Stegostoma tigrinum: one gene and its partner. The protein of the gene in region 2 interacts with the protein of the main gene of each other region in a pairwise test. Links are inferred from orthologs where the notes say so. Each region holds a gene or a part of one and is shown on either strand. Other genes may lie near its edges. The genes, in order: nr2e1 and bcl11aa.

Region 1 (7,826 bases), on a different chromosome or scaffold from region 2:
ACTAGGAAACATGCCTTTAACTTCTGTCAGTAGGGGGTCATTTGACACTTATTGTGTGTAATTATTACTTAAAAGTATATGGCATATTCTATTACTGTAATTACCCTCAACGTTATAAGCAGTTGAAAGAAGTTATCTTTGATTCGAGGAAAGTGATTGTTGGGGGACGAGTCGGTTTCTATTGCCACCCATGCAGCGGCCTTGTTTGTGCTTCACACAACTAATAGGCAGAGTTAGAGAGACGAAAAAATAAACACGATGTTTCCACAGCCCACCCAACAAAAACAACACAAACCCAGCGATGGGCCTGCGTAAGAACACTTCGCAAATTATCGCAGAGGAAGAGAACACTGGAAAGCACTCTATTAAATCCTGGGAATGAAAATCCCTGCTCGTGAAAATGCCTGTGAATTTATATTACACAAGGCAATTCTGGACTCCAATGGAACAACGCGCTTTCTTAATCCACCTCTGTCTAACAAGAGTACGCTCTCCTGCTGCACTGTCCTGTTCTAAAGTTAACATTTCAAATTACTTAGCTCTTTAGACGTGCTTACATTTGTTGAAATAAAATCAATCATACTTTGCCTTTTCACTGGGCAAACACCTCTTAGTTGGTTTCAGTAGCTGCGCTTGAAAGATAATCTTGCTCCGACAGTGGGATTATACACCAAACTTGGGGAATTGAGATGATGAGGTCGTTTCTTTCGCTGTTTTACATTTGTTTCCCATACAAGACTGATTGACCTAACTGTATCTCTTATCTAAGCTGTAGTTTGGCTTTATTTGCACTCCTTGTTTTTAATGTCGATGTAGTCTTTATGATCCTGAACACTAACTCTGTTTCCAACAGCAAGGACCGTATTCTTACGTATCTTTGACAATTGAAAGTGCATTCACTTCCCTACCTGTCTTCGTGATGATGTGGATTTCTAAAGGTGCCTTTTATAACCTGGTTGCAATGGCGCATCTTTCATTAGTATCAGCCGCGCTGCTCTATACGACTTTGACTTTCTTTGAGATTGTGCGCAGATTTACAGAGGATGGAATACTTTGTTCGATGGGATACTCGATGTACTTCTTAATGAATTCCTCAGTAACGCCTCGAATGATATTATGTGACTTTTTGATTGATTTCACTTAGGTGGGCTTAAGTTTTCATCCAGGGGCTACTTGTTTGTGAGCGCGGAGCTTTTCGGCAAATTTCTACCCTTAACATCCTACAGTACCAACCAGATATTCAGGATTAAGGAAAGTGTGAAATCGTTGTGTAGCCACTTCAACAAAGTTAAACACACAGCTGTGGCCTGCAAAGCCTGGATTAAGTGAGGAGGAAAAATACATTAAATGAAGGGAATCACTTCTGCACAATGGTAGAATCTCCTAATTTAGTCGCTACCGAGAAATAGCAGTTTCAGTGTAAGAAATGAGTTACCGCTTAACAAAGCTTCATAACCACGGGAAGAGTGCATTTCTTATCCAAAATAACATGCTTGTGATTTCAATCGTAATCATCGAAATACCTTATATACCTGAATATGATATAGTGATAACTGAGGTTGTATCAATATACCTCCCAAAAATCTGGAATCTTTCACCTAGGTTAAAATGAGAGATTGCTGGTTCTTTCTTGAAATGGCGAAAATATACTCTGTCCGTGTGCTTGGAAAGTAACAGGAGTCTATCACCGATTGCTGATCGAAGCTTCTCACTTCACTGATCAGGACTCTCCCAATTTAACTTTTTTTTGTGTGGTGTAGGAAGGAATCCGCCAGCACACGTACGTTACCCATAATAAAGTGCTTTCAGACTTGAAATGGAAGCAAAACTGTTTTGTATCAGCACCCGGATTGTGAGTCCGTATAACTAGGGGCGCAAAACTTCCCGTGAAATTAGATCGGTTCGCGTTTGATTGCGAACAGATTTTAAAGAAAAACCGCGTGCATAATGTTAGCAGCCAAAAAAAAAGGATTGGGACTCCGCAAACTTGGAAGAGATACCGCTTGCTCTCTGGCCACCAAATGAGACCTTAGGGGAGTGAGCAAACTGCACTGCATTTCACTGAACTCCGAGCTTGTTTAGGTTTAGGTATTGAACTATCTACGAGTCAATTATTTTACTTCGAGGCCCTGCGAATATAACCCTCGCAACCTGAAATCAGGTCTCTGAATCCAGTGACAATTAACACAACTAAAATTGCTGTTTTACTAATAATGCACAGGCTGAGTTGAAACTAACAGAATTAAGTTCGGGCAAACACCCACCCACTTGCCCCGGGCCACCAGTTTTAACGTACATAGTTTTGGGATGTTTCTCCCGCCCAAGGTTGAAATCACGGAACAAATTCATATTTTTACACATCACCCACTTGTTGATCCGGCAGGCTTGCTCATTCTTGCGATGCTAGATCTGGGGATGGTCGGGGTGGCGCTTATTATAGAGCGGGCAATCTCATGAGGCGCTCTAACAGTGTGAAGCAGCGCGAAGGGAACCCGGTTATAGTCCTTCCGTCGATCAGCCCGGCTGCTGTCTGCTCTCAACAAGCGGAACGTGAACTCCTAATTTCTTCAGGCGCCTTCGCACCAGTCAGTCTTCAGCCGGTGACGTCCATAAGTGGCCAGCTCTCACCGTCTCTCTCTTGGGAAGTAGGAAGGATCTGATCGCTGAACTCACCGTGTCCATCCGTCATGCAACAAGCCTGTGGAAGTTCCGATCCTCAGAGCTGTCAGCGGTTTCAGAGAGAGAGAGAGAGAAAGAGTCCTGACTTTCAATTTGACCGGACAGAGAAGAAGAAGTTGTAAGCAGCAGCTTCCGGTAACGTGAAGCAAATGATGATGAATTTTGTTTTGGACACTGGCGTGATATGCAATGACTGTGACCTCCCAGATTTGGTTTCGGAAGCCAAAGCTTTCGCATAAACAGGAAATTTGAAGAAATCAGCGCAGGTTAACAACACACTCCCTTGCCCAGTCTCCAGTCTGTATCTCGCTGCTTTTCCTTTCGCCACATTACACTCTTACGTCAGTACCCTTCAGCCCTTAAGATGCCAATTGCATTTCCGAGCTCTGCCTAGGCTTTAAAGTTACAACGAAGGGGTTTTTTTGCGCCGAAAGGTGGTAGGGTTGGGAGAAAAGGGGTGGGAAGAGGAAGCTGTTACTTTGTCAACCGATCCAAACAGAGAGAGAGAGAGAGAGAGAGATTGTCCGCAATAAAATGTTTTGCATCAGGCTCATTGCCCGTGGAGAGAAAACAGGAACAGGCACATGTACAACGTCCTCAATAATAAAACCGGCAGAGGTCTTTCATTTCAATAAAGTGTCTTTAAAAACGACAGGTCTTGGCCTCAGTTTACAAAGCTGGTGAGTAGAAAGCAACAAATTCCCGTGTAAGTTTGTTTATGACTGTTAGTTACAGAAAGTTTTCCTGTTGAATGCAACATTCCTCTCCTGCGATGTTAACGTTTGAAATTACTGAGGAGGTTCTTTCAAGTAGACTCTGTGTGTTACCAAGATTTACAAACTGCAGTAAGTAAACAGAAGCATTACGTTCTTGAATACCTTGTTAGGCGCTGCAAAATGTAGAAAGCCAAATCTTTGTGGTTATCACAAATATTGCTAATATTTAAAATCACGTTTTTTTTGCTTAGTGAGGTAGCAATAATCTGTTAATTGGTTAAATGCAACAAGGAGATTCTGTAAGTTATCTACTGCCGACCTCAACTGATGCAGAAACTGCTCTAGAGCTTCCCTAGCTCTGTATGTTGAAACTAAAGCCGAAAGAACCCCTCTGTGTTGTGGTAACTGGTGAAGCAAGAGGTTGCTAAACTCTCGGATGGAATCGTGAGGATTGATACTTTTCCCTAGATTGTGATTAAAGGCTCAGCGCATTGTTCCTGTTCGCTCTCGGGAATGTTTTGGCCCAGGGCGCCGCAAATCTGACTAAAAGTTTCAGCACCTTTAATCTGCTACAGTTGCTAACGACATAACGAGCAGGGATCCGTGGGTGTTTTTTAGATGAAATGGATTGCGTTGTGACATCGGTCACGGTGGACTGATGGACTTGGCTTTTGCTGCAAATCCTCTTGTCCGAATCTATCGGCGAGTTTGACTGTGATGCCCTCTAGGCGATCTCGGTTATCTAACTTGTTCCAATCTATTAGCAGCATGAAATCTCCTTGCAGCAATGCAGCGGCAGTCAGTTCCGCCCACTCGCTTCCATCCACCATCACCAGTCACATGACCTGCGAAAATCCCACTTTACAAAGATAGTTTAATGCCATTTTGAAAACTGGAGTGCAGATCAGTGAGGTTAAGGTAACATTATATTCAACTGAAATCCAGGGCGTCAATGTATGCGACCACTCCAATGCTTTAAAATAGCAATATTTTTGGACTGGATTCAGAGCACATCTATAAAAAGTACATGTACCTATAAAACGTGGCAAATGCAGACTTTCTTTCTAAAAAAATTAATTTTTCCAAGTACCACTTGCGGAATCAGCTACCACTGTAATTATTCTGAAGTTATTCATTGCAACTATATCATTTGTTCGAAACTTTATTTAATAATTCACTTTTCCACTGGAGTTCAGAATATTCACCACCATCTGATCAATTAGTGGCCACAAAAAATAAAGTTTGCTGTCTGTACAACGTCGCGGAATGGTAATGTTGGTCAGGCTGGACCCACAGTGGAACAAAGCAGATTTTTTTTTAAAAGAAAGCTAATTTCAAAACTTTCCAACTCTTACAAACGATCAGGTGAATGGCGGAAGGAATCGAAAAGTACTTTTTATTGGACGATAAGGACATTAAAAGTTGTTTGATTTGTGTTGTATGTCGTTGAGCATTTAAAATGGTCGTTGTTATTCCGGAACAGGAGCAGGGAGGGCCTGCAATTTATCAACTATTTGTAAGTTCTTGAAGCAGTTCGCTAACAGAATCTAAAAATATTACAGAACTATATTAGGGATGGGCTTAACGCCTTTTGCTGTAAAATCAATAAATTCAAACTGAACATTTCAAAGAGAATATGCTATTGGCCATGATTTCATTGGCAAAGCGGAATATCAATTCGGATTATCAGAAAGACTTGGGGTGTTACACTGTAACCAATTCTAATAATTATTGCAGAAAACTGACATGAATTTGACTCGTCCTATCAGTCTTGTCCAACCATAAGCGATTTCACTGTCTTTTGGTGTTGAAATAAAACAGGCCTCTATGTAATACTGATTATGAGAGCTCGATGTGAAACATGCTCTCCACCGTGCATCCATTTTCACTTCCTCACTAACTCACATCCAGTGATGCTCCAAGCACCTTGGCATGCATAACAAGATGTGGCAATCTGGAGAGGCTACTGCCTGCACACGGAATCCCTTCCAGGTAAAATAAATACAGCAAGAAATGAGATAAATCTCGGGGGTAAAGGCAAGAAATGCTGGCTGTAATATTGCAAACGAAATTGTATTAGTTCTTCGAAATGCCACCTATCTGAAATCCATTGTTCTGGCGACGAGTTGTACCTTCCTTTAAACTCAATGCAGAAACCTTGGACAATAATTTCAGGTTGATTTATCTTAGCGTCGTCTCTTGGGTAGAAAATTTCAGTTTTGTATTGTAAGCACTTTATTTACTACCGACTGTTGCAACATGCCTCCACGAGCACCTTCCTTCCCAATACACTGACAGGGTCTTCCCCATATTGAACACAAATTCTAGGCTAACACTCCAGCATAGTGAAGACCTAATGTGCGATCGTTTGCGTGAGTCATCGAATCAAGAACACACCTGCCCTCGCATGTGAATGCAAATGATCCCAAGGCACATTACTAGATGAGGGAAGCTGTTCCTAGTGTCCTAGCTAATATGTTTCATCAATTGATATCAATGTTTATCCAGACTATTGGGCCACTTTCACACGCTTTTTCTTAGTGGGGCTTGGCACAGGACACTTTGCTGGCCTTTCTGTGTTGCAGCAGTAACTACAGTTAAAAAGACACTTCATTGACAATAAGTCACTCTGGGTTGTGAGTATGAAATACACTCCGTAATTGCAAATATTTCCTTCACTGGTCAGTGAACTTTTGCTCCGGGTTGTAATATGTGATTGATTCACTACAAACAGCCAAATGAAACTCAGGACAAAGATACAAAAACGATGTTTTTTTTAAAAAAGACAATAGCGACAGCCCATCTTTTATTCACGTCTGGAACGTGGATATCGCCAGTGTGAATCATCCCTCGTCTCCCTTGCGAAGGTGATGGTGAGGTGTCTTCTTGAACCCTGTAGCCCACGTGCTGTAGGCTGACTCACAATGTTTTAGGGGAGGAAATTCCAGACAGCATGTTTCATGTATTTGTTGCTCTTGTCTTTCTGTATAGATGTGGTCATGGGTTTGGAAGGTGTGTTTTAAGGATCTCTGGTCAATTTCTGCAGAGCATCGTGCACAAAGTACACATTTCATGGGTACACTTACTGAGATAATATCATATTTCTCTATCTTTCACGTAAAAGTCAAGTCACCTAATCGGAGCCATTGATAGTTTACTGGTGCAGTAACTCATCAGATGGACTTGCGTTTTTAGCTATTTTCACAATCATCAGCTGTCTCAAATCATCTCACAGGCAAAGGATCATTTTTGAACAGCAGTCATTGCTGCAATGTAGGAAATACAACAACCATTTTACCCACAGCAAGCTTTCACAAACAGTAATGTGATGGTGTCTAGGTAATCAGTTGTTTTTTTTCCATTTGCGATGTTGATTGACGGATACGTATCTATCAGACAAAAGGGAATAACTCTCCGGCTCTTATAAACCACCTGGATTTTTTTTTACACTCAGCAGATTGAACGCGGTTTAACATCTCGCCCAAAATACAGGATCTAAGGCAGTGCAGCTTTCCTTCAGTACCACACGAGAGTGTAGGCGCTGGTGTTTGTGCGCATGCCCTGGAATGGAACTTGAACCTTGAACTTTTTGACCCTGATTCGAGACTGCGACAAACTGAGCCAAGGCTAGTATCGGACACAAAGTATTTGATGATTGCAGGAAATGCTATCATTAAAAAAGAGGCAAGACAATATAAAGTAAATTGTGTAACCTTAAAGGAGGTGGTGGAACTGAGGGACCTGGGGATATTTATGAATGTATGAGGTCGGCAGTGCAGGTTGAGTACGGGGTGGCACGGGGCATTAGGCTTTAACCGGTCCATGCGTGAAAGGGTGAGAAGGTTACTAGAAACCTTTATAAAACATTGGTTCTGCCTCAACCTTTGCATTGTGCCCAGTTTTAAGCAGCCATACTTCAGAAAAGATGTAAAGGCATTAGAGATGGTGCAGAAAAGATTCAGGGGAATATTTCCAGGCACGCGCTACTTCAGTTGCATGGATAGAATGGAGTTAGCTGGGAATGTTTTCCTTGCAGATGAAACTAAAAGTGAGGTTTAATAGTGAACGGTTTGGACAAAGCAGATGGTGAGAAACTTCCAATTCCAGGACACGCAAATTTAATGTGATTGACAGAAGAGGCAACTGGATCATCAGGTAAAGGTTTTTATTGGAGTTGTTAGGATCTGGGATGCGGTGTCCGGAGGTTTCGTAGAGGCAACCTCAATCGTGGTTTTCAACAGCCAGTTGGACAATTACCTGAAGATTTTTAAAACATACAGCGTTACGGGAACAGGTGGAGAAATTACACTAAATGACACTTCCTGCTTTTGCAGGAAACCACAAAAACAAGGCGGGCCGAATACTCTCTTTCCATGCTGCAGCCCTTCAATGATTCTGTACTAACATACTTCAATCCGAACGAGAGTACTC
Region 2 (8,036 bases):
TCCCAAAATTTTAAAAAATGCAATCATCACACACACGTGGGTCAAAGCAAAATATTCTTTAGAGCAAACAACTAGCTGCTGTTATTGAACAAACTTTGCTTCTGTATCATTAACTGAACTGATTTTTTTAAAAATTGTTTCCTTTTTCTCCAAGCTTTTTAACGGGGAAGGGGTAAGCTGTGTTATTATTTAGTTTTTTTAATTGATTGCTTTTGTTTAGAATAATGCCTGAACTCAACGAACTTCAACAATAATTCCGATGCGTCGAGCCCTCGTGCAGGTGAAGCTCGGCATCAGACTTAGCCCTTTTACCTGGAAGAATATCGGATGGAAAACAGCCAGTAAAGCAGAGTGTGTTTGGGATGGGGTCGGTTTCGTTTAATTTGCTTTTTTTGGTCGGCGGGGGAGGACAAGGAGGAAGATCTGAGAGCAGTCGCTAGGAAATGGTGTTGGAAGTTTGCGCAGGTTGCAGCCTGGGCTTGTTTTTGATGTTACTCTGCCTCCTAGCGACACAAGCGCGCAGCATCGACCCCTCTCCCTTCAGTCCCTCACGCACACTTTAAACAACCTTGATACATCTTCCGTTTAGACCCAATATTCTACATTGAGACGATTCAACGGGGACTTGGCAAAACAGAAAATATTCAGAAAGCCAAAAGTCCGCGATTTCTATCGACAAGACGAATCGCCTTATTTTTCCTCCACTGTCTGGCTTATAAATACATTTTCCCACAATCACTGAATTATGAAAAACGGGTTTTAAACGCGAAAGAAACTCCCACACTACAGTTTTAACTATACTTTATTCGCCAGGTATTTCTTTTCAATTCTCGCCAGTTTGCTCGCTCTGTTGGATTTCAATGTGAAAGCCCAGGAACTGGCCGATCGCAATCTCAGAGATGACGGCAACACTGGAAAATCTGACAACAAACCTGCGGCTTTCCCCCAACAGGAACAAAGTCTCATTTTCACAAAAACCAAAGCTAAAAACTCCCTCTCCCCAAACAGTGTGCTTAACATTCCGGGGGGTGGGGTGGGGCTGTTAATAACTTCCTTCCGAACGTGTGTGGGAACGGAGTCCGGGACCCGGACTCCCCTGCCCCACGGGATCTCGGTGCCGGGAGCTGGACTCTCTCCCAACTCCGTCCACCGGGTTGTCGTTCCCCAGGCTCTCGCTCTCTCTCTCTCCCCCACCGCCCATAGATCTCCCGCTCTCCCCTTCTCTTGTGCTGCCGGGTCTCTCTCTCTCTCTCCCTCCCCATCTATTTCTCCCCACCCCCACGGCTCCGGGATATCTCTCTCTCTCTCTCTCTCTCTCTGACTAGTGTATCCAAAAACTCTGGCGTCTCTACCTCACCACCCACATCACCCCCCACCCCGACCTTCCCGCCGCCCTCCTCCACCCCCCCCCCCGGACTCCCGAATCTCTCCGTCCAGCTCCGGGCTCTCTCTTTCTCCAGCAACATACCTCCGCCAACCCCCACCACCCGTCTCCAAGATCTCTCATTCAGTTATACCGATCCCACCTCGCTCCGGGGTCCCTCTACCCGGGCTTCCTCTCCCCCAGTTCCAGGATCTCTATCCCCGTGTTCCGTCTACGCCCGGGCTCCCACTCTCCGGCCTCCCACTCCTCAGGATCTCTTCCCCCCTCTCCCCGATCTGGCGGATCGCACGTGTGCGCGCCCGGACTGACTGACACCCGCAGCTCGGTCAGCCCCGAGAGTTCCGCGTGTCTGCCCGAGGACAGCAACGCTAACACCCGGGGTTTACAGCGGAGTTTGTGACTCTTCAAAACAAAATTATTAATTAGACTTAATAGTTCTGGGAGGGGATTTGCGAAACGCTGCAAAATGTGAGAGCGTCGGCGCTGGGTTTTTTTTCCATGAGGTTTCCGCACACGCGGAGCTGCAGCTTGTTGTAAACATTCAAGCACGAGATTTTTCCCAATCACAATCTACTTCCAGATTTTTTTTGAAAATCTTCCAAAAAATAGTAAGAGGAGGGAAAGCGGGAGAAGTTAAGCGGTGAATTAAACTTGCGAGCGAGTATGAGACGATTTCCCGGCTTCCGAAGGAAGGAGGAAGGAGAGGGAATAAGTTTAAATTTTTTTGGCGGGGGAGGTGGGGGGGGGTGGAAGACGGATGGGGCTCGGGGACTGATGCCCTTTGAGGGGCGGCGCGATCAAAGCTGCAAAGCCAGCGCCGAGTGTCCGGAGAGGAGGGGGCGGGAGGGGTATCGGCACTTTTTTTGGACTCTTGTTGAGTTTCTTCCTTACAGTTTCGTTGCCCCTCACCTCCTGAGGAGTTTATTCTGATTTCTTCTGTTGTTTTCCACCCCCCACCCTCCTTGGCATGTGGAGGATTTTTGTTTGTGTATGGAGGTGACGGAGGGGGGAAAGGTGGATAAGAGAATTTGAGCGGATCTGGAGCCGGACACTTGGGAGGCTCAGATCCCTGCAGCTGCTCTGCCCCTCAGTCCGGCCACTTGCTGTCAGGAGTCCGGTCAAAGCGCTGACCGATCGAGCCCCGGCGCCGCTGCTGCTGCCGGCACCTCACCAGAGAGAGGGGTGGGTTGCGGGGGGGCCGCCGGGGAAGATCTTTCTTCTTCTTCCCTGCACTTTCAACGGAGCGCTTTATTTTTAAATATGTTTTTTTCCCAAAAAAAGTGGAACAAAAAAAAATTTGAAAGCTACTCACGTGAAAATTCCCGTTTACTCAAGTGCTGAGGGTTGCCTTGCTTGCGGCGAGACATGCTCGGTCACATCGGGAGCGGGAAGAAGGAGACTCCAGAGAAAATATCTTCATCAATGGCTTGACATAAAATAAATTAGAAATAATACAAAGATGGCGGATGGAGATGGATTGTGGGATAGCCGTCATGGCTTTAAAACGACCAAGTTCAAGTGCGTACGTGACGTGCCCGCGAACTTGAACGTCAGGAGGTGGCTGGGCAGGGCGAGAGGAGAGAGCAAGCCAATGATACATACCCAGGGACACGGGGCCGGACAAACCCCACTGCTCACACAGAGTCTCACTAACACACACTCACACTCACTCTCAGTCCCAGGCATCCAATAGGCGCAGCTTCCAGCAGCTTCCAATCAATCCATCATCCGCCTACCGCTGCAACCGCTCCCACCACCCCCCCCCCCCCCACACCACCACCACCATCTACACACCACCACCCCCTTCCCCTTCACACACACACCACCGCCTTCTCTCTCTGAAAGCCACTCCAACCGCGCTCCCCTCCACACCGCTCCCAACTCTCTCTCTCTCTCTTTCTGTGCCAGCCCAAACTGCTGGCAACTCATGGGCGCAACGCTTGCTGGCCAGAACTGGGCAAGTGATGAGACATTTGCGCTGGACAACCCGTGCAGGACATCAGGAAGGGGAACGCACATGCACTCCGCGTTTGTTTTTGTGTCCCCGTTATGATTGCCAACCACGTCCGAAAAGGTTGACATTATTCATAAAGTTAATTATGTGTAGTGGTGATAGGGGGAATAAACAAGGTTTGTAAAGTATTTTATGGTGTAAATACCCAAATGAGTATTAGAATTTGCAGCCCACTGAAATTCGATAGCGTACACGTGAATCCAAACAGCTGGATAGAGCGTAGATATTTACATTTGTATATTATTTTAAATTAAAATCATAAATCATGTCTACTGCCTTCTTTCACTTTCTATGACAAAAGCAACTGCTCCTGAAGGTTGCTGACTCTTTCTGTGCTTATGTGCTTTATAAACATAACGTTATATTATGTTTAGTTTGTGGAATAAAAGGAAGTGTCCTCGACTATCTATTTCCTTAGCGTTACCTGTTATTCGCATCTCTGCTGTTTTCAGTTACTTATTGGCGGATAATTCACAAGACCGTGGAAATGCTTGAAGTAACGTGAATATATAATATGAAGTGAAAATGTTAATCCTATTATTTTTCTACCCTTTGTGTCGCTCTTCTATACAGTATGTTAAACCGAGAACGGCTTGATAATTGATCTTCACACAGTTCATTCTCGTTTTTCAATGGATTTGCAGGTACTTTAGTTGCAGGTATTGGAGTTGAATGCAAATTATGTTTAAAATAGCAATGCTGCTTCTCATTTCAAGATACACATACGGCCCTGTTCATTTATGCGAGGTGAGAAAAGGAGTTTTCGAGTAACCTTTGAAGATTTTGCACCTGCATCGACCGTTTTATTTTAAAAAATGTAATAACATTTCAAGCACACGATTTTTTTAAAGGAAAATGATTTTATGATAATTCTGTTGCCCTTGGTGATACTTGGATGGTTTGATTAAATGTGATGGCTGAAAGTCTAGTCAATCAATATAACATAACAGTTTTTTTATAAATCTGCCCTTCCATGTTTATTTAAAATAAAATCTGCACAACAAACTAGAAAAAAATCGTGTAACATGCTTTGCAATTAGAAAATCGTAAATAAGAAAGAATTTTGTCTCTCGAGTGCATGATTGCAGACTTCAGCGAGATAACTATCGGAATAGGTAGCTTGAAGAATCTTGTTTTTAAAACTTGTGCTGTACTATAAATTTGTACTGATGCAACAGGAACCGTAGAATATGGAAGATTTCAGAGGCGTTTTAAGTCATTGTTTCCATGAAGTATAAGTATTGTGCTCCCCAGACGTAACCTTGTGTGTATGATGGTGCTTTTTTTTGTGGAGTATAAATACTTTTAGCTGGAGGGCCCTAGACGTGAATATGGCTAGCAAAAGATTTCAGGCAGAAGTGAAATTGAACTCATTGCGATCAATGGTGCGATATGTTAACAGAAACTGCGCCATTTTTTTCTTTTCACCAGCTGTAGCAAGTGGTTGAAGGGTTAACTATTTTTACTCTTAACACTCAACGATCAGATAAGATCTGCGGTTGCAGCTGTACCGTCCGTCTCACACGAGGAAGTTAGGTTACTTAAAGTCATGGATGTAAAACAAAATGGTTTTATAACTCTTAACCCGAGGTGGATGGCACTTCTGTTAAAACGGTAAAAGTACATTTCCCATCTGCAAGGATTCCAAATGACTGTAGGTTGTTTTGTTTTCGAACCGTGCGGTTTTCTACAGGAAAAGGGTTCGGTAAATTTATAGGGAGCGAGGGCAAAGCGCTGCCGAACTGCCAGAGCCAAGTTCCTTCCAGCAGACCTCCCCCACTTCTAATGCAAAATTATTTCTGATCTAATCTGCATCTGGAAGCTGGCTGCTAACCTGGTCGCCTTTTATCTACCATCTTGTCCAGTAGTTATGAAGTGAGTTCGCGAATCCAATTATTGCCAAGTCGCAGTCAAATAAAAATGTACAGACACCCACCGCCCGCCCCCCTCCTCCCAACACACAAACACATACATTCACCCCCTGCCCGCCGCCGCCGCGCGCCTCTCCTCCACTCTTTCCTGATTAAAACTACCGGCGCGGATACATGAGTAACTTTTGTGTGTAATGTCTGCCCAGTGAAACTCGGACCCAGCACGGAGAGATCCGATCGAGTGCCTGGAAGAGACTGAGGAGAGGGAGTTGGGGGGTGGGGTGGAGGGAGTATCGACGCATTCGGTAATTTCACGACCACTTCATGGACAAATCCGTAATGAAGGAATTAATTCCATCTTTTGATTAGCTCAGTGACTAACTTTAAGTAATGTAGTCAATGACTGGAGTTGGGTATTCGAAGTCAGACTGATATGCTTAATAAAATGTTCCCAGCACCTATCTGCGCGTGTGTTTTCTTATGGAAGAATTTGGCTACTCGTTTTTAATGCATCCGAATAATTATTTTAGCATTCAGAGCAGCATCGGAGCGTTTCACTTGTGACTCCTTTTATTCTCAGAAACCCCTATGGGTGCCTCCGAGCAAAGCGAGTCAACGATCTATCACGCAGCCGATTCAATAGCAGGCTGAGCTAACCTTGACCTTTACCTAGACCTCGCTCCATCTGGTGCCAGGGTGTTTTTCATAATGTTGATGCCTTGCAGTCAAAATTGATCAACGCGGAATCGACCGCCTGACCTCCTCAAGGGGCGTTGCGAGGTAACCTGGCTGCTTGAAAATCGAGAGAGCCATGTGCAAAACATGGGCAGGAAAATTGAGTGTCCGCTTGGTCGCATTTCAATATGTAAATGATCAGACATTAGCAGTCTCGATCCATTCGCAAAATAAATCAAATCCTTCTGCTGCTTTGTCATTATTTTTACCCCCCGTCTCTTAGATCATTCAGCAAATGTACTTTATATATATATATATATATATATAACCTTTGTTTTCTGTCCGGGACTTGCAGGAGTACCCCTAGCGCCGCCGCCAACCTTTGCTCGGTGATCAGCGCCTTGTTGTTGCTGATTGTAATCAAATGTTTCGCATAATCTACATAGCTTCTGCGGTCAGTGGTCAACAGCTTGCATAATTCGGAAGTTTAATTCAGTTGTCAGGAAGATAAAGTCAGAGTTTTTGGTTTGCAATGCAACAACTAATTGTTGAGTAACTAATTGATCACCCTGTGACGTTTAACTTCGAAGCGCGTTTTAATATAAGGGACAATAAATTTGAAGAAGCATTTGAACGCAGTGGACAGTTGTGGCATGTGACTTCCACTATATTAAAGTGGCTGCACTGTTTGAAGTCTGTCTGTTGACAAGACGGATCTATTTGCAAGACGAAACCACTTTCCTTCAAATATTTTCTCTTTACCACAGTTCCAGCGAGCTTTATTGCACAGGTTCGTCGCAGCACCCATTGAAAAAGGCGAACTTAGCGATGTTTTCAGTATTGTCTGCACAGTCTTGAAGACGTGCCAGCGCTTGCCAGTAAAAATGAGTGTCAATTACAAGCTTCCATATTCCATCCCACATATTAGGAGGCACTTGAGCAGAAAGCGTTCAGATGACGTTTGCACTATATTCAGAAGTGCAAATCGTGTAGGCTTTGTACCAAAACTAATCGCGAACAAAAGATCTGTGTCTTGGCATACAAAATTGAGTGAGAAAGTGTAGCGTTTGAAATGCCCCTGCTGTACAATCCAAACGTAATTGGTGGCATGCATGCTGTGTGCTCTGTTATACATATGGATCTGGTGCTATAATATTCATTGCCTTTGTTCAAGATGAGACAGGCAACCGAGAGGTAGTAGCACAACAAAGATTGTTTTGTCTGTAGCTGGATTTGTATTGCGTTCCCTCTCCCCTCCCCCGCCTTGCCGTCCAGGTGTGAAAAAAACTAGTAAAACTGGATTTTGGCTTCCACCAAATGACATGAAAACAAGTACCTTTCATTAGCTTAGATATATATTGAGCATTTTGGTCTCCACTACCAAAACCTAGAAATCATCCATTGCAAACTACATCTTCCTTAAAGAAACCTTACAACCAGTTGTACCAAACATATTTTTTCTCATTTGTTTCCCTTAAATTGTCTAAAGGATTAGACCCAAATACCAAAGCTGCTCTATATGTGTCATTTAGATATTTTCTCGCGGCTATTTATTTTGCAAAGATATAGCGACTTGTACATTACTCATCAGCTGATCTTGTGCAGTCTCCAGCACATAGCTGTCTTTCCAGTAACCTAACGTCTAACGTCTCTCTACTTAATTGGACCTATTTTTAACGTTTATGTGTATAATTTCCTGCGAGGAGCCATTTGTTTTTGCCTCAATTTAAAGTTGTGCAACTTCGGTCACTTTTGAAAAAAAATGTCAAATCTAATTGACCTTCTTAATCCACTTAATTTGGGTGGATTTCAAAACGATTTTACTTTCTTTTAATGTATAAGAACATCCTATCATTTGTTATTTCCTCCATGATAATTTATTTTACAGATGTTTTGTTGGCCCATAATTTCTGTAGGTATGGGTTGAATTTTTCATTTAAGACAGTCTCAATTATTTTGCGTTTATAATTCTGAAATCTCTATACATCACGGGAGAAGCCTCTCTTGCACATCATTTGAGTTTATTTTAATCCAACGGTCACTACTATGGTAAACACTTGAATGTTGAGTTAGACTTAATGCAGACCATTTC

What was found.
Region 1: the proteins of bcl11aa (region 2) and nr2e1 interact in a two-hybrid assay, tested with the Homo sapiens proteins (2 studies listed by BioGRID). The link is inferred for Stegostoma tigrinum from reciprocal best matches to the Homo sapiens genes BCL11A and NR2E1.

Annotation. Positions count from the first base shown.
Region 1 is NC_081357.1:27,101,606-27,109,431, forward strand, and holds the start of nr2e1 (nuclear receptor subfamily 2 group E member 1), read right to left. Parts: upstream 3,121-7,826; 5' UTR 2,690-3,120; coding exon of another isoform or gene 2,674-2,689; 5' UTR 2,394-2,673; coding exon 2,369-2,393; intron 1-2,368. UniProt on the Homo sapiens protein: Orphan receptor that binds DNA as a monomer to hormone response elements (HRE) containing an extended core motif half-site sequence 5'-AAGGTCA-3' in which the 5' flanking nucleotides participate in determining receptor specificity.
Region 2 is NC_081362.1:41,927,068-41,935,103, reverse strand, and holds the start of bcl11aa (BCL11 transcription factor A a), read right to left. Parts: upstream 3,006-8,036; 5' UTR 2,752-3,005; coding exon 2,697-2,751; intron 1-2,696. UniProt on the Homo sapiens protein: Transcription factor. Associated with the BAF SWI/SNF chromatin remodeling complex. Binds to the 5'-TGACCA-3' sequence motif in regulatory regions of target genes, including a distal promoter of the HBG1 hemoglobin subunit gamma-1 gene.